Linked DNA regions of Drosophila melanogaster. The protein of the gene in region 1 interacts with the protein of each later gene in a biochemical or structural test. Each region holds a gene or a part of one and is shown in the gene's direction. Other genes may lie near its edges. The genes, in order: ari-1, koi and EcR.

Region 1 (7,670 bases):
ACTCAATTGATTGAATTACAATCAAATTGTCATTTTCATTATATGCAAAAATGGTATACATTTTGGTTCATGTTAAAAATGCTATTTAGTAACTGCCGTCATGTAATTTTGTAGTTTTTATTTATTGGTTTTATAATTTCTACAAATGCCTAATATTAAACCAATAGAAAATTATTGAAAACATTAAAATATTTACTTCTGTGTAATGAGGCAAACGCCCAATCAATTTTATAACCATTTTTTTCTCATTAAAAATGTGTCTGCTGTATTTATTTTGCATGCTGATTATTTCCATGCAATCGGTTTTTAGTTTACATATGAATTTTAAGGTGATATTCGTTTAGATATTTGTTTTGATGGTGAATCCTATATCAGGGGCACAAAATAAGAGGCACACAGTGTCCTCGTTCGTTACGGGCATATCCTCTCGCACAATGGCATCCCGATGGGTTTTTCCAGCACCGCTGACTGAACTCCTGGCAGAAGGACTCGCATCGGCAGATCGGGTTGCTCAGACGGCACTCGTAGGGCCCACAACTTCCGGATCCGCCCAGGTCGGCCCGTATGGCTGCCACCATTAGAAGAAGAAGAAATCGAACTGCCATCCAACGAATTTGCATTATGACCGCATTCTGATTAAGCCAGCTGGCTCTTTATATACATACCTTATACACAACAACAGTTGTCAGGTGTTGCAATAAAAACACAATATACAATAAAAAACTTTAAGTGAAATCGAATAAGGCGCCCATTGCCAGTGCAACTCTGTATCAACCGATACAGTATCGATAAGGTATCGATATGGCATCGATACATCGATGTTACAACAGAGTGGCAATTTACCATTGAATTTGATTAACGGTACTTGTGAAACAATGAAAATTGGGACAGTAAAGTTTAAAATAATTTTATTCAAATATATTTTTAGCTCGTGCGAAGTTTTAGCAATTTTATATTGTTCGCCACTTTAAAGATTAAACTCTAACCGCAAACAACCGGAGGTTGCAGTTAAAAACATGAGAAAACGTTTGAGTATAATATCTTGACAGTCGAATAAAAGATCTCAATAATAGATCAAGACGCCTAGTTATCCTGATCAAGAATATGTGTACTTTATGAAGTCGGAAGCGCTTTTCAACGAATCTAGTATACCCTTTAATTCCAAGAATAATTAATAATGTTTAAATAACAATATTTATTTCAAACAGGTTTATGTCTCGGATTGGAATTTGACACTGTGGTTCGTGCCTTTGAATGGATCCCTTCAAGTCTTGTTCTGTAAAGGGATTTTCTCAAAAACTGTTTCTGTAAATTAAGCGCATGTCTCATTTTTAAGATAATCTCTTTTGATGAATACACTGAGAATCAAGAAAACGTTCATTGGAAGCTCACTTGTTTTTGAATCTACTGTTTCCCAGCCGTCGATAAGTCACTATTGCTTTTTTGGCACCCATCGATAAGCAGATGTTGTTAAACATACGATTTAACGGAACGGTATGAAACAGGCGGCAATCGGAACGAAAGTAAATGGGAAAAAAGCGCAAACATGCGCACACACTTTCACGCACACTTGACTCCACTGTGCGAGCGCGTGTGTGTGTGTGTTATTTTTTGAGAAAAGCAAAGAGAGCAAGTGAGAACCAACACCGATGCAAATCATTTTGTTGGCTTTACGGTTAGTTTTTCGTGAAAATTCCATTTAATTTGTGCATTGCAACCGAACTTCGCGACGAAGGCGAGCACGATTAGTGCAATAAGCTAGTGTTTTTTCTTTGGAAAAGTGCATAGAAAAACAACAAAAAGTCATAAGCTTTTCGACTGTGCCTTTGTGTACGTGTGTGTGGCAATACACACGTAATGTGCGCATGTGTGTGCGCAGTGTGCTGGTGTGTGCCATTACCTTGAAAACAAAATAATCTGCCCTAAAGAAAAATGCATTTGTGTACATAATTTCGTTGTTTTTTTTTGTTTGTCCCATCGACGTTCGGTCGATTTTACATGATTTTACACACACATGCACACATTTAACATAGTGTTGTTCGCTGTTAAATCAGCAGTTCGGCCCTGTTAAGCGCACGGGCCAGTGTGACCGTTCTTCTTAAAAATACCGAACCAGTATGACTGCGCTGCGACCGTGCAGGGTCTCGTATTGTCATTAGAAAATCTCACATATTCATTTTTCATTTACAAATAAAAATAGCCAGCACGCAGCCTACAAATTAGCAGCGCACAAAATAAGTTAGTGTGAAAAAGGGAATAGAAGCTGTGCACCAAGTGCAGCGACCAAACACAACTGGCCACGCCACTGCGAGGGCAGCAATAATAACAACTGGCGAAAAGGGCTGCGCAAAAACGTAAACAAAAGCAAGTGGAAAACGAGGCAAAGGAAAACGAAAAGACAGAAACAAACGCAAATGCAAATGCAAAAGTAAAATACTGGAAGTAAACGCTGGAAAACAAAGCCTCGAAAGCTGAAAACAAAGAGGAACGGAAGTGGTGCGGGAGGCGCAAGAGGAACAGGAAGAGGAAGAGAGCAGAAGGAGCACCAGCAGCTGAAGCAGAAGCAGTAACGCAAAACAGAAACCGAAAAATGGACTCGGACAATGACAATGATTTCTGCGATAATGTCGATTCGGGCAACGTCTCCTCGGGCGACGACGGCGATGATGACTTTGGCATGGAGGTGGACCTGCCAAGCTCCGCGGACCGCCAGATGGACCAAGATGACTACCAGTACAAGGTGCTCACCACCGATGAGATTGTGCAACACCAGCGCGAGATCATCGACGAAGCCAATCTGCTGCTGAAGGTATGGCCAAGCGCAAGTACAGTGAACACCCGCTAGTATAACTATCCATCCGCAACTTAACTATCAGTCCTAGGGCAGCCATAGAGGTACATTCTTCACCCAGTCCAGACAACAAAGATAGGCAAGCAGTCACCTTTGATTGCTCTACAGTCAGGCCTTCCTAGCAGGAACATGTTTGTTTCGACTTTCGTTAGCGCTGCGATTTGCAGTGAAAGCCAAATGGCTTGACATAGTTTAGTGGCGTATAGCTGCCAAGAATATCTGATCTGTTCGCCGCTCGGAGGCATCACTGTGTGCAGCACAGTGCATTTGGGCATGTGTATCCGTGAATCGCTTTCCCCACCCCTCGCTCTTGCCGCCCACCGCCCTGCCTGGGATCTGGGATAAGCTGAAGGTCGTCCGCTGATGACTGCCAGTGCCAGTGAAATCGGAACACAAGCACCCAGGCGCACCCAAGGTCGCCAGATCCGCATCCCATATCCGCATCAGCAGCTGACTTGCCCGAAGTTCACTAGCACAGTTTTCACTTTCCCAGATTTCGGGGGATTCCCTTAAAATGGTATTATAGATTCCATTTCAAATGAATACATTAGGATCAATGTAGAATCCATGTAATACTTTTTTGTTTCATTGACATTTAAACATCAGAAAATCTTTCATTGCAATAATAAGCGAAATTCACTTAGCTTGAGTGTTAACTTTCAGTATTGATACAGATCATGTATGTAGCTATCTAATTGTTAGTTAAACAAAGCACCTTTGAGTAACTCTTCCCTCTAAAATTGAATTGTACATACATACGTACTTTTTCTCGATTTCCAAACAAATCGATTAGTTATTAGGAATGCCAAGAAATGTTATATATCCTAAAAATTATACTGTTTAGATAGACCAATTGCCAGTGGTAGTTATAGTGGTTCCACATCACAACCCCATCCACGATTATACATAGGTACTGCTGATCATACTGCTGCTGATCGCAAATGATTTGGCATTGATTTCGATGCCAACTGGGATGCAGCCCCCGCTCTTTTACCCCATATATGTACATATGTGCCATCATCCACTGACATTCGATTTGTTTTGTTGTCTATGGCCACAGCTACCCACACCCACCACACGGATACTGCTAAATCACTTCAAGTGGGACAAGGAGAAGCTATTGGAGAAGTACTTCGACGACAACACTGATGAGTTCTTCAAATGCGCACATGTCATAAATCCTTTCAACGCCACCGAAGCGATCAAACAAAAGGTGAGCCCAGTGCTAAGGCTCCATTTGATGTCTCATCTAATGCGTTTCCCTTCATTTTCAGACCTCACGCAGTCAGTGCGAAGAGTGCGAAATATGCTTTTCACAGCTCCCGCCAGATGTAAGTTGTCATGGAGAAGGGATGAGTAACTCCGTGACCTAATTGCGGTGTAGAATATATTTTCCCGCTGATTAACCACGAATATTTTGGGGGGAAACATGATTTTTTAACTGGTCAATGGTGCCTTATCTGATGACCTGATAATAATGTTAGGGCGTTGCTTTGCTATACAAATCTAAAATATTCTAAAAAGACTTGATTTGTATTTTATCAATTATTTTTATTGGCTTACGTTATCACTAATTTACTTGCTTGATTTACAATTGTTGATTGTTAGCCTGAATTTGGTTATGTAAGCAGTTCAGCAGTAATTCGCTGGAATCCAACTGTCTTGTGGAATCAAACATTTAATAATGTAGTTTAAAAAGTAAAATTTAGTATCACGTTTTAAAAGAGTAGATTGCAATGGGCAACTTTGGGTTATAACAGCAAAGTAAACTTAAATATATTATAGACAAGCTAACTAACAAATACTCAGAGCGTAAAACACCTATGAAAAGTTTAAAATTACCATACGCTATGTAGGTGGTTTTAATTTGCTGTATGCTTCATCATTAAGCTCTCATAGTTCGCGTGATCTTTAAGTATATATTATAGAATACGATTATAATATATTTATAATATTGTATACTCTTTTGCTCCACAAGCAACAACTTCAAGAATATCTACAATGTATACTAATAGCTACTTTCTCTTCGTTCCATTTAGTCCATGGCCGGGCTGGAATGCGGACACCGATTCTGCATGCCCTGTTGGCACGAGTATCTGTCAACGAAGATCGTGGCGGAGGGTCTGGGCCAGACCATTTCGTGCGCGGCGCACGGCTGTGATATCCTGGTGGACGACGTGACCGTCGCCAACCTAGTGACGGACGCACGGGTGCGGGTCAAGTACCAGCAGCTGATCACCAATAGCTTTGTGGAGTGCAACCAGCTGCTGCGCTGGTGTCCGTCCGTCGACTGCACCTATGCGGTGAAGGTGCCGTACGCGGAGCCACGTCGCGTCCATTGCAAATGCGGCCATGTCTTCTGCTTTGCCTGCGGCGAGAACTGGCACGATCCGGTCAAGTGCCGTTGGCTAAAGAAGTGGATCAAGAAGTGTGACGACGACTCGGAGACGTCCAACTGGATCGCGGCCAATACCAAAGAGTGTCCCAGGTGCAGCGTGACCATCGAGAAGGACGGCGGCTGCAACCACATGGTGTGCAAGAACCAGAACTGCAAAAACGAGTTCTGCTGGGTGTGCCTCGGTTCTTGGGAGCCGCACGGCTCCTCCTGGTACAACTGCAATCGCTATGACGAGGACGAGGCCAAGACGGCCCGCGATGCTCAGGAGAAGCTGCGCTCCTCGCTGGCCAGGTGGGTCATTCGACTGTGAACGATGTCACAGGATAGGAACCCCTTTTGTTTTTTTTTTTTTTTAAGTGATACTTGTTGTGTATTATTTTCGCAGTTCGCTGATAATGACGGTTAGCGGTTTATTTTATCTGCTAATTTCTTTTAAGAAAAGATAACGATTGAAAGCCGTAGAAAGGAATGAATCAGCTATAATTCGTAATTAAATTTTATCGCTGATTAAACCTGTAGAATTAGAAATGCTAAAACTAATCAAGGAAACACGAAAGTATCTAGGCAGAAATGTGAAAGTCATTATGGAATAAAACTCAACTGATATATTATCTTCTGCCAAATCTACAGATATCTCCACTACTACAATCGCTACATGAACCACATGCAGTCGATGAAGTTTGAGAACAAATTGTATGCATCTGTGAAGCAAAAGATGGAGGAGATGCAACAGCACAACATGTCATGGATTGAGGTAAGTGGTGAAAACTCGTGACCATAACAATGCGAATTCAGCACACTCATTGCAATTGCAGGTGCAGTTTCTGAAAAAGGCTGTCGACATACTTTGCCAGTGCCGTCAGACTCTCATGTACACGTACGTGTTTGCATATTACTTGAAAAAGAACAATCAATCCATGATATTCGAGGATAATCAAAAGGACTTGGAGTCGGCAACCGAGATGTTGTCGGAGTATTTGGAACGTGATATTACATCCGAGAATTTGGCTGATATTAAGCAGAAAGTGCAAGATAAATACAGGTGAGCGAGCGAGCCATGTCCGTGTCCCCAACATACAAACGACTCATTATCCAAACATTGATTGGTCTCTCCATTCGATTAGGTATTGTGAAAAGCGGTGCTCTGTTCTGCTGAAGCACGTGCACGAGGGGTACGACAAGGAGTGGTGGGAGTACACAGAATGACGCGAGTCATGGCTGGATAACTAAGCTAAGCCGAGCGGCAGGCAATCGGAATGTAGTGCCCGCTAAGCGCCACCCCATCCAGCATCCGAAATGCAGCAAACACTGTCCCCATCCACATACCGACCAACATCCGCCAAGCCACGCAACACACACACACACACACACACACACACTCACGCACGCACGCACTCACGCAGAAATCGAAGCCGAAGGAGTTGAACAGAAGTTAAGGATAATGCAGAAGCTACACAGAAACGCAAGAGAAAGGAGACTCGAAATTCCCAGAAACGCAGGATAAATCCCCATACAAGAGTTGCAAAGCAAAATTGAAGCCATTTCAGAACACAGAAGCCAGAAGGAAATCACCATAAAATCGTAATATATATAAATATATATATTGAATTATATATATTTTTCTTCGTACTAAGCAAGAGCAGCAGCAGGACACGAAGAAGGACAGGATCAAATAGACACTACCAAACACATACTCACACACTCCCACACACACACACACACACACACAGAACCAGTCACAAGGCTCAGAAGCAGAATAGATATATAGTAAATAATCAACAGTTAAAAACTTATTTGATGTTAACCGATTGCAAAGAAATCTTCATGTTATAAAAACCTAATGAAAAACGAAACAAAATGCAAAAATTAGTGAATTCAAAGCTACACGCATGATGAGAAGCCAACAATAGAACCTAAACTTATGTGAAATAAACAAACTACACATGTAAGCAGAAACACTCGCCCAGCTTCCTTTCCACCTGCCCAACTTCCTTCGACCAAAGACAATAGAATAACAAGATGCGTAACGCAACGCGATTTTTTAGCACACATTTTTTTGGCAATGGATCTAGAAGGTGGCTCCAGGCTCTCTCGAATTTTTGAGAGAGAGCGAGAGAGTGGAGAGCGCTACAGCAAATAGCTCTTTTCTACGTATACAGTGATAGCAGACAATTGTATGTGTGCACACGTATGCTTATGCATTGTAAATTTGACCCCCTTCTTAGACTTTAAATCTTTATTATTTTTGATCAATTGGCACCATGCTAAAAATTCTTGTTTTGCATTGCCTTAACGTTATTATTATTTGAAAATAGATTAGAAATAGCCAAATCTATGTACATATTATCACAAAATAAATTTCAAAAATTACTTTATTAGAATATTTGTCATTAGAGTATTCAGCTTGCGGCGTGTGAAAAA
Region 2 (7,960 bases), on another chromosome or scaffold:
GTATCCGACACTTGTTATTACAGTTTGTAAAGGGAACAAGACGCGAAAATAAATAATTGTGTATCCACCAGCCGGGCGACATTGTGATGGGCAATCAGGGCACTCCCATTCATTTAGGGGGCTGTGGGTGAGGTCTCGTCGTTCATCTGAATGTCGTCGGCGGAGTAAAAGTCCTGGGTTACCGGGATGACGCGGTCGTTGGTCTCGTCATCCTCCTCATCGTGACTGTCCGTGTCCTCGCTGTCGTCGTTGGCTGCACAAGGGCAATTGGACGTAAAAACGATAATGGTAATCCGAATGCAGTGTCCTGCCGTACTCACCATCCTCGTCGTCGGTCTCAATTCCGGGTATGGTGAGCATTTTGCCCAGCGGCTGCAGATCTGTGCCGGCCGTCTTAAGGGACTCTCGCTGTACGGTTTAAGTTTATAACAATTTATACAGAAAGCGGTGTCTGGAGAGAACTCACCCAGTTGCTCCTTTCATCCTCATAACGCCGCGTCTGCGATTCTTCGTTTACGGAGGCAGGAGCCATGTCCAACCAGTAGCGATTGGCCACGGAGACTTTGAGCGTGGGAAAGAATGGAATCATTGACATTTTCGACGGAATCTTGAATGCGCTGTTTTCAATATTTGTTGTTCTTTCTCTGGAAGCCTTTGATGCGATCTGGCAACGCCGCAACATACGCTGTAAATAATACCAATTTTACAGGGGCGTAGTCGTAGGGGCGCATTAAACGCAAATTACAATATTAATTGTAATTGTAATTCATCAATCTAACTATGTATTTTGTTATTGTCAAGGGAAGTCCGATAACCAAGGGCTTAATACAGCTTACTCAAAAATATATATCTTCACTATTACAAATTGACCTTAAGAATCAGAACATAACCAAAACGAATAATATATATTATTCAAAATCTTTTTATTTATTAAAGAAGCTATAAAAATTGGACAAACTAGACACAGGAACGGTATTCCCTTGCAGTTTTATTGGTAGTAAAGTTCCAGATTCATGCCATCGTGAATTTCATCTAAGAAAGCGAAAAAGAAATGCGGGTAAAGCAAGGCGTTACAAGGACACTAAACAAGGGCTTACAGTCAGATAGGCGAATCGGGTCCTTGAAGATTGTGTACCACTTCTTCAGGACAATCTTCTCGTGCTTTGTGCCCGTTTGTGCCGCGATTAGTTTCTTGAGGTCCCCAATCGTGTCGTCCGGGTTGCACTTGACGCGCACCTGTGGGTTAATCGTTGGTTAACGATGCTTGCAGTTGCCTTGGGTACTTAGCTGCTTACCTTCTTGCCAAGACGATCGTTACACGTTATTTCTATCATATTTTATGGCTTTGCTAGACAAATCACAACAATAAATTCTTGATTTGTTGTGGTATTATTGCTTAGGGTTGTCAAATACCCTTTACCGAATACCGAGTGGTTTGAGGGATCGCTAATTGTCCGCAATGCTATCGATATTTTATTTAATTTTAAATATGTTTAAATAACAATCATATAGAAAGTCGAAGTTAAAGATATCAGAAGTCTGAAAGTATACTTAGAAAGCTCAATTGCTTGTCATGACGCAAATCTATCACATCCTTGTAAAACGATAATATTTGTTAACAAATTTATATTTAAATTTCAGTCTTCTTCTTAGTTATCAAGCCAGAAGTCGAATGTTTCGGCGTTAATAGAAAAATAATGTATGTTTGCATATTTGCACACCTCATTCAAATTATTTTTCTTTGTTGAACAAAAGATAAAAGTGTAAAAATTAAATTTTTTATTCTTGACCCATTATTTCTCTTGGTTAATGAAAACAAATTCCGTTTCTCAACGTTCCCTTTAATAATCCATGTGAACAATCGATAGGCGGCGAAACATCGATGATTGCTAGAATAATCGATGTGTCTTCCCCGTTCATTCGAATTTTTTCGCCGCTCGGAATAGACGTGATTTTGCCGTCGTGACGGTGGAGGCTATTTTTAAAACGGTCGCGGCGCTTGCAAACAAAATTCATATCCAGCTATTCAACGGAGGAATTCATTAGTACGGCAGTACAAGAAATATTACTAAGTATGTCACATATTTGCGGGCAAACTGCCGAAAGCACTGTGCGGAGTTTTTGTTTGTGTGCGTGCGTGCCTCATTTTTACATTCACGTACATACATATGTACATATATGTACGCTATGACGCAGCTGTGGAAAACTTGTTTGGGTTTCCATTTCACCGAATCACGGAATCAACGAATATTTGCGCCTGTGCTGCGAACTCATTTTGGGCAGTAAGCCATTGTATTGATTATCGCGCGTTGTTTGTGGATGGCGTGGTCCGCCGGAGCACCCTGTAGCGTCTACATCCCTACCCCGCTCCCTGGAGTCCGATATCTGTGCGCGAAAGGCCGGGCGGGCGTCGTTTTCGGCTATGTGGCCCAACACCAATGGATCCCCACGGTCACTGGCAGCAATTCGCGATCCGAAATGCTCCGCCCTATTTTTAGACGCGGTCTTTGCGGCCTGCCTACTTACCTACCTCCCCAATGCATTCTAATTAAAAACCGGGCACTGCGCTCATTTCCACACGCATTGCATTGCATAATGCGGCATTAATGTGGCGGGGAAAGCTCGCTTCGGAAAGCACTCGAGCATTGAAGTGAAGAGACCGAATGTTTTCCAGCTGCCCAATTGTAAACAACCCACGCCTAGCACGCACACACACGCACACGCACACACACACAGACTGGTTTTAATGTTTACTCCAAATAAATCGTTGCCCATGTTAATTATTTGTGTCTTCGCAGGGCCCGAGCACTGGAGGGAATCTAATCATGAGCGAAAATACATACCAGATAGAAACGCGTCGGCGGTCGCGTTCCAAGACCCCCTTCCTGAGATCGAGCTGCGACCATGAGAACTGTGAGCACGCCGGAGAGGAGGGGCATGTGCACCACCTCAAAAGGAAATCGGCGGCCCCCAATGTGCAGTAAGTATCTGGGATACTCCCGAAATAGGCCTACGGACGAAGCCCTTTATCGCGAACCCATAACATTATTTTTAGCCCTTATAAGTAGTAAAATTGTAAGCATACAATATGTTTACGGAGTTCGAGTCAATTTCATTTTGAGAATTAGGAGAATTCAGTTTAAACTCTATAATTATTTCCTATTTGGTCCTGAGTCACCTTTTTCTATACTGACCATTGGTTTCAGTAAGCAAGTTGGACTGTAGTAAGACACATCCATAGCGACTGTATGTTTGTATGCCGTGTGCTGCCGCCATGACGTCACCTTTTTGTTATTCACGCTCGCCGCGAATTTGAATTTCGAAGCGGGTAGAAAACGAAGGCAAAGCCGCATACAGGGTGCAGCATCTGGTCGAGCTTCGTTAGTTTTTGGCGCCTATTTCGAGAGCGCCTGGTCGGTCTGATGATCAGTCTTCAAGACTCGATGACGACATTCGGAGTCCAACGTCGGCCGTCAGAAATCGTTTTCACGTTTTAGCCTCTAAATCGAGCATGCTGGGGTGGGCTAACAGTCGTTTGCGCTGAAGGCCAGCGGCGGTTATAAGCATATTTTTGTGTTTTTGTTTTGATACGTTGTACTCGTCGTTTCAAACGATTCCGAGCACGTTATCACGGACTTACTGAAATATTTTTCCCAAATCTTACCTCTTCTCTGCAGAACGATAATAGAGGAGCATATAGTGGAGTCGAGTATCAGTAAGAAAACCCGGGCAAAAGCGTTCGCCCAGCTGACCTCGGACTATTCGAGCGACGACATGACTCCGGATGCCAAACGCAAACAGAACTCGATCACGGCCACAGTCACGTCGATTCTCACCAAGCGATCCGGCGGCGCCACATCGACACCGCGGAACAGAAGCCAGCTGGAGACCACACAAAACACGCTGAATTCCGCCCAGGAAAAGCTAAACCAATCGAACGGTAACCTCAGCTCGGGAAATGTCAGCGATTATCTGGCCTACATCGAGTACAGGGATGCTGGTGAATACTGGAAGTGAGTGAATCATTTCTACACATTTTAAACAGTATACTAATGATGCTATTTTGCAGCAAAACTCCCAAGACGGACTATACCTACTCAGAACTGTCCCCTCACCGACGCCAGTTGGCGCCAGGAATTGTGGCCATGCCCAATATGTCCAGAAAGAGCCTAGAGAACCATAACGATCGAGTCAACTACATGGTCCAGCAGAACCCTGCGCAAGAGGAGTTCATCCGCCGCCGCTACCAGTCCAAGTATACCCAGCAGGTTAACTATGACTCCGCAGATGAACTGGACGCCACATTTGGGCAGCAAAAGCAGAGCTGGTGGCTTATCCGCCTCATCCAACTGGTTGTTAGCAGCATTACCACCGTGTGGAGTCGGGTGACCAATCTCTCGGCCACGGAGACGACTGCCTATCAAAACTACCACGCTAAGCGCCAGCAGAGTCAACAAGTTGGACTTTGGTGGAAAATAGTACAGACCATCGGAGGAGGACTTGCAAGTTTGCTGCGCTACCTGTATGTTTTCATCGGATCGGTGCTGAGTTTGGACACGTGGTTGCTGCGATCCTCGGATGCGGAAAACAAGTCGAAAAAGCGCTTCCTCATATTTCTGCTGATTTTGTTGCCCTTGCTGCTGCTGTCGGGTGAGTAGGATTTAAAGCACCGTCCGATTTTTGATGTAAAGTAAAATATGTTAGAGCGTGTGCCGTGACCTTGTACCGGTTCGAGAATTCATACTACATGCATATAGATCACCTCCAGTCGTTGTATTTATAAACTCGTCTGGTCGTTGGCAGTCGCGTGACGCCATCGATAATTTGTTAGTAAAATCCCGCGGATCAGATTTAAGTGGCCATGTGATGACATATTTTATTTTCCATTCACCGTCTGCCAAGGTTAAACGCCTAATTTGCTTTGCCTTTGCAGGTCTGTTCTATTACATACACCCCAATGAAACTTTCCCACCCAAATCCCTGTCCGAATACACATTCACCCTACCTGAGTTGCCCAAAATCGATGTGAAAGACTACCTGAACCAGGAGCAGTTCGAATCGCTACGCTCTCAGGCCGCCGAGCATGCGGTCCGCGTTCGCGATTGGGCCGACGACTACGTTTTGTACTTGAGAACCATCGGTCAGAACGTGGTCAACAAGGGTCGTCAGTTATTTCAGGGCGATGATAAAGTCTATTATGAGCGTGTGTAGGGAACATCTGCAATGGGCAGGCTACAGCTACCAGATTTAGTGATCTGGTTGGGTGCAACGCCCCTTGCACTTAGACAAATATGAGAAACTTTCTTTATGAACAATATGAGTACAAAATAAAGCATTTGATCCGTTTTTTGTCCGTCTGCTTGACCCGCAGTTTTGCGCACTTACTTTATAGTTTTTCGTCCCGTCATTTACCCACTTCATAGGCAAACCCACCTCTCATACCCCACCATACTAACCGACACAATTCCCAACAAAATGCAACATCACAGGCTGATGGGAGAAGGATAGAGCTCGCCGCTGTTCAAATTGTAAAACTTTCGTAATCGTTAACTTCATTCTTGTCCAACAATTAGGGCCGTTATCCGTCTGGGTTAGTGCCCTAACTAAATCTTACTTGTTGTTAAACAACGTTTAATTGTAATTTGTGCACTGTTTGCTTTGTAATAGTCTATACAAAAATAAATCGCAAACAATTTCATATGAAACATCAAGTACAAAGAAGAGTTGTTTGTTTTATTTGCCATTTGTTGGAAGTTCGCTAAATGGTAAGTAAGATGTAAACAAAGCAATATTAGTTGGCCAGAATCGAACTCTATCCTTCTGCATTTGTGTTGGAATAACCCCAAAAACGAGTTCCCTGTTACCTCAGTCCGGTTGATAATTGAAGTTGGTAGGGACTGTAAATGTAGAAGGATTGCCAACTAATAGTGCTATGTTTAATTTTCTCCTTCCCCAGGATGGTTGCTCTTGCAGGAGGATCAACGTAGTGCTTACGTTCAGCGTGCGGAAGCACTGTTGCCGCTGCCACTATCTATTTTCGGCTCCCTACGTAGTCGATTTTCAAATGCTGGAGCCACCTTGAAAAGTTGGATGGAAGTGCCCACCGTCAGGAGTCCCCAGCGGGAAGCCGAGGCCATTAAGGTAAACATGGCCAGCATTGAACAGAACATCCAGAAAGCCTTGACTGCCGAGGAATACGAAAATATCTTAAACCATGTAAACAGCTACGTGCAGCAGTTGGTCGAGCTGAAAATGCAGCAGCATTCCAAGGAGCTCGCACCGCAACAGATTGAACTCTTTGTTAAGCTGATGAAGGAAAACCTCAAGCAGATTATGTACAAAACGGAGCTAAGCGAAAAGGATTTGTCTGATCTGGCCATAAAACTGAAACTGGAGCTGCAAAGCTCAGGCGGTTGGCAAGATGGAGCGAAACTATCACAAGCTAACTTAGAGGAGATAACCAAGCTAATTAAAGCAGAGGTTCACCTCCACGAATCGCACTACACCATTCAATTGGACAGGATAGACTTTGCATCCCTGCTGGAGCGTATTCTTGCTGCGCCAGCATTGGCAGACTTTGTAGATGCTCGAATAAGTCTTCGGGTGGGAGAGCTCGAGCCAAAGGAGAGTTCCGGTTCCTCAGATGCAGAAGTCCAAATTGAGCGTCTGAACAGGGAAATCGCCTTCATTAAGTTGGCTCTCTCTGACAAGCAAGCGGAGAACGCCGATCTGCACCAATCAATCAGCAATCTGAAGCTCGGCCAAGAGGATTTGCTGGAACGCATACAGCAGCACGAACTTTCCCAGGATAGGCGCTTCCACGGGTTGCTGGCTGAAATAGAAAACAAACTGTCTGCGCTTAACGACTCGCAGTTTGCTCTTCTCAACAAGCAGATCAAGCTATCCCTTGTCGAAATTCTGGGCTTTAAGCAATCCACCGCTGGCGGTTCCGCTGGCCAATTGGATGACTTCGATCTGCAGACCTGGGTACGCAGCATGTTTGTGGCCAAGGACTACCTGGAGCAGCAGCTGCTAGAGCTGAACAAGCGCACCAATAACAACATTCGCGACGAGATTGAGCGTTCGAGCATCCTGCTGATGAGCGACATTAGCCAACGACTCAAACGGGAGATTCTTCTGGTTGTGGAGGCCAAGCATAACGAGAGCACCAAAGCGTTGAAGGGCCATATCCGCGAAGAGGAGGTGCGCCAGATAGTCAAGACGGTGCTAGCTATTTACGATGCCGACAAGACGGGCCTGGTGGACTTCGCCCTGGAGTCGGCGGGCGGCCAAATCCTTTCCACGCGTTGCACTGAGAGCTACCAGACAAAGTCAGCCCAGATATCGGTGTTTGGAATTCCACTCTGGTATCCCACCAACACGCCGCGGGTCGCCATTTCACCCAATGTGCAGCCAGGGGAATGCTGGGCATTCCAAGGGTTTCCCGGATTTCTAGGCAAGTCGCGGGTAAATAGTAATTGCTAAAACAGTCCTTATAGTTTTCTTCCCACAGTGCTAAAGCTCAACTCGTTGGTGTACGTCACTGGATTCACCCTAGAGCACATACCGAAGAGTCTATCCCCCACAGGAAGAATAGAATCAGCTCCTCGCAACTTCACTGTCTGGGTAAGTTTGACTAAGGGTGAAAGGAAGTGGTGCATTTCTAATACGACTTATCCATCAACTCAGGGCTTGGAGCAGGAGAAGGACCAGGAACCCGTATTGTTCGGCGATTACCAGTTTGAGGACAATGGTGCTTCCCTCCAGTACTTTGCCGTTCAAAACCTGGACATCAAACGGCCGTACGAGATCGTCGAACTGCGGATCGAGACGAACCATGGCCATCCCACCTATACATGCCTCTACCGGTTTCGCGTGCACGGCAAGCCGCCGGCCACATAAATCTGTTCAAATCTCTTCTAGTGACCTAAGTACTGCCAGGTGTACATAATGTCTGTGC
Region 3 (5,083 bases), on another chromosome or scaffold:
TTCAAGGAATTCAACGTCATACCTCTTCTTCTTCCTGCGAACGGTATCGTCTACTCAAGCAAGTTTCCACTACATGGCATTCGGCTCTCTTCTATTTCATTTATTTGCCGGCGAACTACCCCAACAAAAGGCATGCACATGACTTCGATCGCTCCCCCTCCCCCTCCCCTTCTCACCCACTCACACCCTCAAAGCTAGACAAACTCTCTCACGCTCGCATGCAGCTACACAGATACATATAGGAAAGCACAGATACATGTTGCACCCATACTCTAAGCAATTGCTCCAGTGTACTACTGAACTGAGAGTCGTTTGGCAGTCGGCCAAGAGGGAAAAGGATAGTGGAGGAGAGGGGAACGAGACGTGTGGAGGAGTGGAGAATGTGGGGAAGGACGAAAGAGAAGAAAATCATCATAGACGCAGTTATGGGTTGCAGCTGTGTTTGTATTGGTATACCCAAACAAATAGAAGTAGAGAAACATAGGAAGAGATAGAGAGAGGCAAAGTCTCTTTCACGCCCCCGACACCAAGCCGCTGCCGTCCCCACTACTCAGCTGTCATTGTTGATATTTTGTGTTTTCATCTTGAACTTTTGTGGTTCAATGTGTCTAGCCAACCCCAAACAGAGCGAAACTCACCACATGCTAACCACTGTCACCGTCAGTACGACCACCCCCACAGTCCCGCACCACCTTGCCCTTGCATTTTGCCGGCTTTTCTATGCGTATGCGTAGAGAGCGAGGTCGTCTCTCTCGCTCTGGCAAATGCAATTCTCTATTGCATTCTACACTTGAACTTGCCCAGCGTCAACTCAACGCACACAGCGACGTTAAGTAAATACGTAGCGATTCGAATGATGGGGCTGGTGGTGGGGGGAAGGGATGGGCAAACAATTATCTGCAGCGATGTGTGCGTATCTGTATCTGAGTATCTCAGCTCGCTTTGCGCTGACTTTTTAACCACAATGTATTCGAAACGTGCAATTTATACGTCGCCCAGCAGACGGCGGTGATACGTGTATGTGTATGTATACATACGTACATACTCATAGATACTGTTGTGGCTGTTAGTTTGATCTGCGTTCTGTTTACCCTCCTGGTGATCTTTTTCCTTTCCGTCAATTACGTCTCGTAGTGTCAATATTCTGCTTCAAACAGCGGTGTCTACTGACTTCAGGTGGATTTCCCTTCCAACGAATGGAAAACAGTCCTTCGGAGGACTCTCTATGGTTTTCTAACTCGATCTTATTTATTATTCATTCAGCTGACGTGAGAAAGTATTTTTGGCCACATGAAACGTTTTCATTGTTTTCTTGTTGAGATATTTGCTACATATATGTATTCAAATAATAAAGTTTAAAGGGACACTGAAAAATGCAATTGATGTTAGAGATTATTGAAAATAAAACTTGGAATGTATCGAAAAGGTGAAGTAGAGAGACTGTAATTTAAGCTAAATATTTCAACTTATCCTACTTTTAATTATTGCAAGTTGTGGCACTCCTTCCGATTTATTATGGACCCTTTCGTCCCACTATGCGAGAATATTTCAAATGTACGTACATACGTGTGAATTTGCACTTGTGCACCCGAAAGTAGCGATGAACGAAAACGAACGAAAAAAAAAAACAATAAATAAATGTAGAAAACCGAAAATAAAGCAGCAAGAAATGAAAGCGATGATGGCACTCATACTCACGCATACACGGCCATATACGCTCGCACACAACTCACAGATACGTGCCGGAGAGCGGACAAAGAGTATTCCACGATTGCAATTGCATCGGCATTTTCATTCAAGCCGCTTGCTCAGAGTGTGTGTCTGTGGCTGTGTGAGTGAGTGCTGCCTGCGTTTCACATTTATCTTTAGCGCCGATTCCGCTTTTAACTCTCGCTCTTTTAGCGCCATGGTGTGCGTGTCTGGTGAGTTTACTTTGGTGTGCGTGCCAGTGTGGTGAGTTTGAGCGTTTAACATTCTGCTCGTCTCGCTCATTGATTTAGTATTTTTTTGGACTTTGTTGTTAACGGTTGTTCGCTCGCACGTACGAAGCCCGATCGCGTTCGTCAAAAAACAAGATACAAAATACAGCACACACAATTGAAAACGACAACCTAACAGTACGGTTTCCCAAAGCACCTTACATTTCAAAACCGAAAACCCCCAAAATGTTGTAACCAAATAATGTTTAAATCACATATACACCTACATATATTTATGAAAAATTGTTAGACAAATCCCAAATAATACCAGTTCCCCCAACAACCGCAACAAACACAAGTGCAATTCATCGGCAAAAATTAATATAAAGTGCAAATGCATTGTAGCTGAAACTCAAACAATAGTAAAAATACATACATAAGTGGTGAAGAAGCAAAAGGAAATAGTTCTTAAAATAACGCAAATCGAGAGCATATATTCATATTTGTACAGATATTATATGGCGGCTGCATAGTGCAAACTGCGGCTGAGGGAATACAGCGGTATCGAAATGTAAATAGGAAACAACGAAGCCAGAACTCGAAATCAAACATCAGCAACGTGACACACAGACATAAGACGCCCGTCTAGTCGTGGTCTGTGGAACGCTAGCTCCGCTTTGCCAGGAGCCGGAGACTTTTTCCGCATCCACAATATTACATATGTACATATATCGAAGATAGTGCGCGAGTGAGTGAGGGATTTGTGCCGTGGATCCCGATCCCCTTACATATATATAAAGGTAGTGAAAAGATTTTACTCAACATTCCAAATAGTGCTTTGTCAACTGGAATACCTTTTGTTCAAATACGCAGTGGGCCCATGGATACTTGTGGATTAGTAGCAGAACTGGCGCACTATATCGACGCATATGGTGAGTGTGGGCACCTTGGAATCCAATAGAACCAAGCGCTTTTCCATAACAACATTTTGTGGTCAACTGCTTAACGAAAGATCTGAGTTAGGCAACAAGTTCGCTGTTCGGAGCCGAAAACTATTTTCGATTTGTTCAGGCCCTAATGTGTTTGTCTTGGCGCACTTGTCACTTCGCGTGCGCAAAATCAATTTCCATTTCTTATTCATCCAGCCGAAATGAAAACTACATTACCATTAGATCTTTTCAATGCCAAGATACACAGATCATATGTTCGCATAGCTGAATACATGCTGTACATACAGACATTATGATGTCCCAAAAAGATACACATGCTTGGGATGGGGGTTCGATTGGCAATACATTAATTATGGTCATGACAACTGACAGACGGTCAAGACAGAACGTTGAAAATTGTGTATTTCGCCTGCGTAAACATAATCAAGCCTCTTTCGGGCCACCATAGATCCCCGGTGTAGACGAATATGTGCATGTCGGTCTAGGAAAGCACTCGACTGCGTAATTGGCATGTATTTCCATAAATTCAAGTGGGCATTCAGTGAATTCAGCCAACAGATTTACTCTGATTTTCACATATATTCTGTTGATAAGGTTTAATTCGGTGTAAAACGTATTCGATTTATTAAGTGCCGAAAGAACGCTCAAAAATGATTCGATACAGATTGGGCACTTGAATCGTGTTGGAGAAGGTAAAATTGTGGAACATGTAAATGCTGTTCGTCTGAAGAGACTTCACTTTTTGGATCCAATGACTTCAATTGTTAAATGTTCAATTCTACAATAAATGTGTAGTATTTATTTATCTTATTTTTGGTATATTGTTTAATAGGTACTGCGATATATTATTATACATTATAAGGCGAGTCCTCTTGTGCGCTTGGGCTTCCCTATTTTAAAGCGCCTAATGAGGCATTAGGTAACAGCATTAGGTTTGCGCTTAGGTTCCAGTAAAGTCCCCAACATTAGTTTGACTCTCCCACAATTAATTTGTTCCATCCCCCCGACGACACAGACTTACCGCCACCCGTTGGCCTTCGTTTCCTGGGCGGGTCTGGTTAAACTTTCGACTTCATGGCTCTGTTTTTTGATACCCTTTACTCACACAGCATTTAAGTTCTAACGATGACTGAGCTGTGCAAGTTTATTTTTAGTCTCGGCCAAGTCCAATCTAAAGCTCCTAGAAATTCGAATAAGCTCAAAAGCCCTAAGCTGGGTTTTTAAATGAAATTCCTCTACAGGATGCACATAATTCAGAATTGTAGATTTAGTTTTAAACGTGCTAGCGGGTATCTTTTAGTCGAAGCACTCGACTAAAGATTCTCTTTTCCAACTGCTTTTTGCACATTAAGTTTTTCGCTATTTCTTCTTTGCTACACTTTCTGGACACAAACAAAGAGCACAAAAAAAGTAACTTATATCCTATGGCGTCGACAACTTCGTCTTCGCTGCTGTTGTTTATGTTTTATGGGACATTAAAGTGGCCAAATGGCAAATTTTAATGCGATTTTATGCAAATATATAGACACATGTATGTCTATACATGGGATTCAGTGTTGTGGCTTCGCCCAGGCTGAGAAAACCGAGTTACCAGTGCTTTTATGTCGAACCCTCTATGCATTTTTACAATAGTTTGGGGTTCTTAGCTAAATGACTTTGACATGAAGAAATTATACAAGCAAATGGAAACGATCAAAAGATCTGCTTAGTGTTCTGAAAGTCCTACCACAGACATAACAACAATTATGACTACCAAATCCGCACGAATTAAAATGACCCTGGATAATCGAAATACCTTATTTTATATCACAACTGTTTCCAAAGTGTCACACACAACCCCCCTTTAAAAAGGTTCAATGTAACCGCGTCTGGGGGCGACGATACTAATGGGTGCAGACCAGTGGGTCACGAGACAGAACACCACTCCGTTCTTCATCCCCTGGATGGAAATGGGGAACGGGAATGGCAGAAATGGCAAACAGGTGCCATTGTATGTGCTCTTGTATCAATTGCATTGAGTGCCTTATCTTGTCAGCCTTTTCTAGCTGGTTTTCCTTCCCGTTCGGTCTGGATGGACCTAATTTGTGTATGTGCGGTTAAGAGTAGCCTGCCATAAAGCAATCGAGCTTGGAATGAGTTGTGCCTTCTCCCCGACGCTCTTGTGGACTTTCACAGACCAGCAACAAAGTCGAGCTGCCAACACTTTCGCAGACA

Evidence for each region.
Region 2: of the proteins of ari-1 (region 1) and koi, one has a biochemical effect on the other in vitro, tested with the Drosophila melanogaster proteins (one study listed by BioGRID).
Region 3: of the proteins of ari-1 (region 1) and EcR, one has a biochemical effect on the other in vitro, tested with the Drosophila melanogaster proteins (one study listed by BioGRID).

Annotation. Positions count from the first base shown.
Region 1 is NC_004354.4:18,131,581-18,139,250, reverse strand, and holds the start of ari-1 (ariadne 1), read left to right. Parts: upstream 1-1,565; 5' UTR 1,566-1,675; exon of another isoform or gene 1,676-1,886; intron 1,887-2,111; exon of another isoform or gene 2,112-2,200; 5' UTR 2,201-2,590; coding exon 2,591-2,809; intron 2,810-3,911; coding exon 3,912-4,064; intron 4,065-4,125; coding exon 4,126-4,182; intron 4,183-4,890; coding exon 4,891-5,540; intron 5,541-5,879; coding exon 5,880-6,003; intron 6,004-6,064; coding exon 6,065-6,291; intron 6,292-6,373; coding exon 6,374-6,455; 3' UTR 6,456-7,670. Other genes in the region: CG43229 (uncharacterized protein), read right to left, coding at 372-620. UniProt on the Drosophila melanogaster protein: Atypical E3 ubiquitin-protein ligase, which catalyzes ubiquitination of target proteins together with ubiquitin-conjugating enzyme E2 Ubc10.
Region 2 is NT_033778.4:6,809,104-6,817,063, forward strand, and holds the start of koi (klaroid), read left to right. Parts: upstream 1-1,915; 5' UTR 1,916-2,072; intron 2,073-2,684; exon of another isoform or gene 2,685-2,798; 5' UTR 2,799-2,825; coding exon 2,826-2,980; intron 2,981-3,428; exon of another isoform or gene 3,429-3,591; intron 3,592-3,677; coding exon 3,678-4,013; intron 4,014-4,069; coding exon 4,070-4,650; intron 4,651-4,933; coding exon of another isoform or gene 4,934-5,211; exon of another isoform or gene 5,212-5,709; intron 5,710-5,956; coding exon 5,957-7,456; intron 7,457-7,513; coding exon 7,514-7,626; intron 7,627-7,689; coding exon 7,690-7,902; 3' UTR 7,903-7,960. Other genes in the region: CG15237 (uncharacterized protein), read right to left, coding at 114-253, 321-408, 467-595; ubl (ubiquitin like), read right to left, coding at 989-1,032, 1,098-1,236, 1,296-1,334. UniProt on the Drosophila melanogaster protein: Component of the LINC (LInker of Nucleoskeleton and Cytoskeleton) complex involved in the connection between the nuclear lamina and the cytoskeleton. Is required to nuclear migration in eye and to anchor klar in the nuclear membrane.
Region 3 is NT_033778.4:6,128,834-6,133,916, reverse strand, and holds the start of EcR (ecdysone receptor), read left to right. Parts: upstream 1-2,075; 5' UTR 2,076-2,799; coding exon of another isoform or gene 2,800-2,851; intron 2,852-5,083. UniProt on the Drosophila melanogaster protein: Receptor for ecdysone. Binds to ecdysone response elements (ECRES) following ecdysone-binding, and recruitment of a complex containing the histone methyltransferase trr, leads to activate transcription of target genes.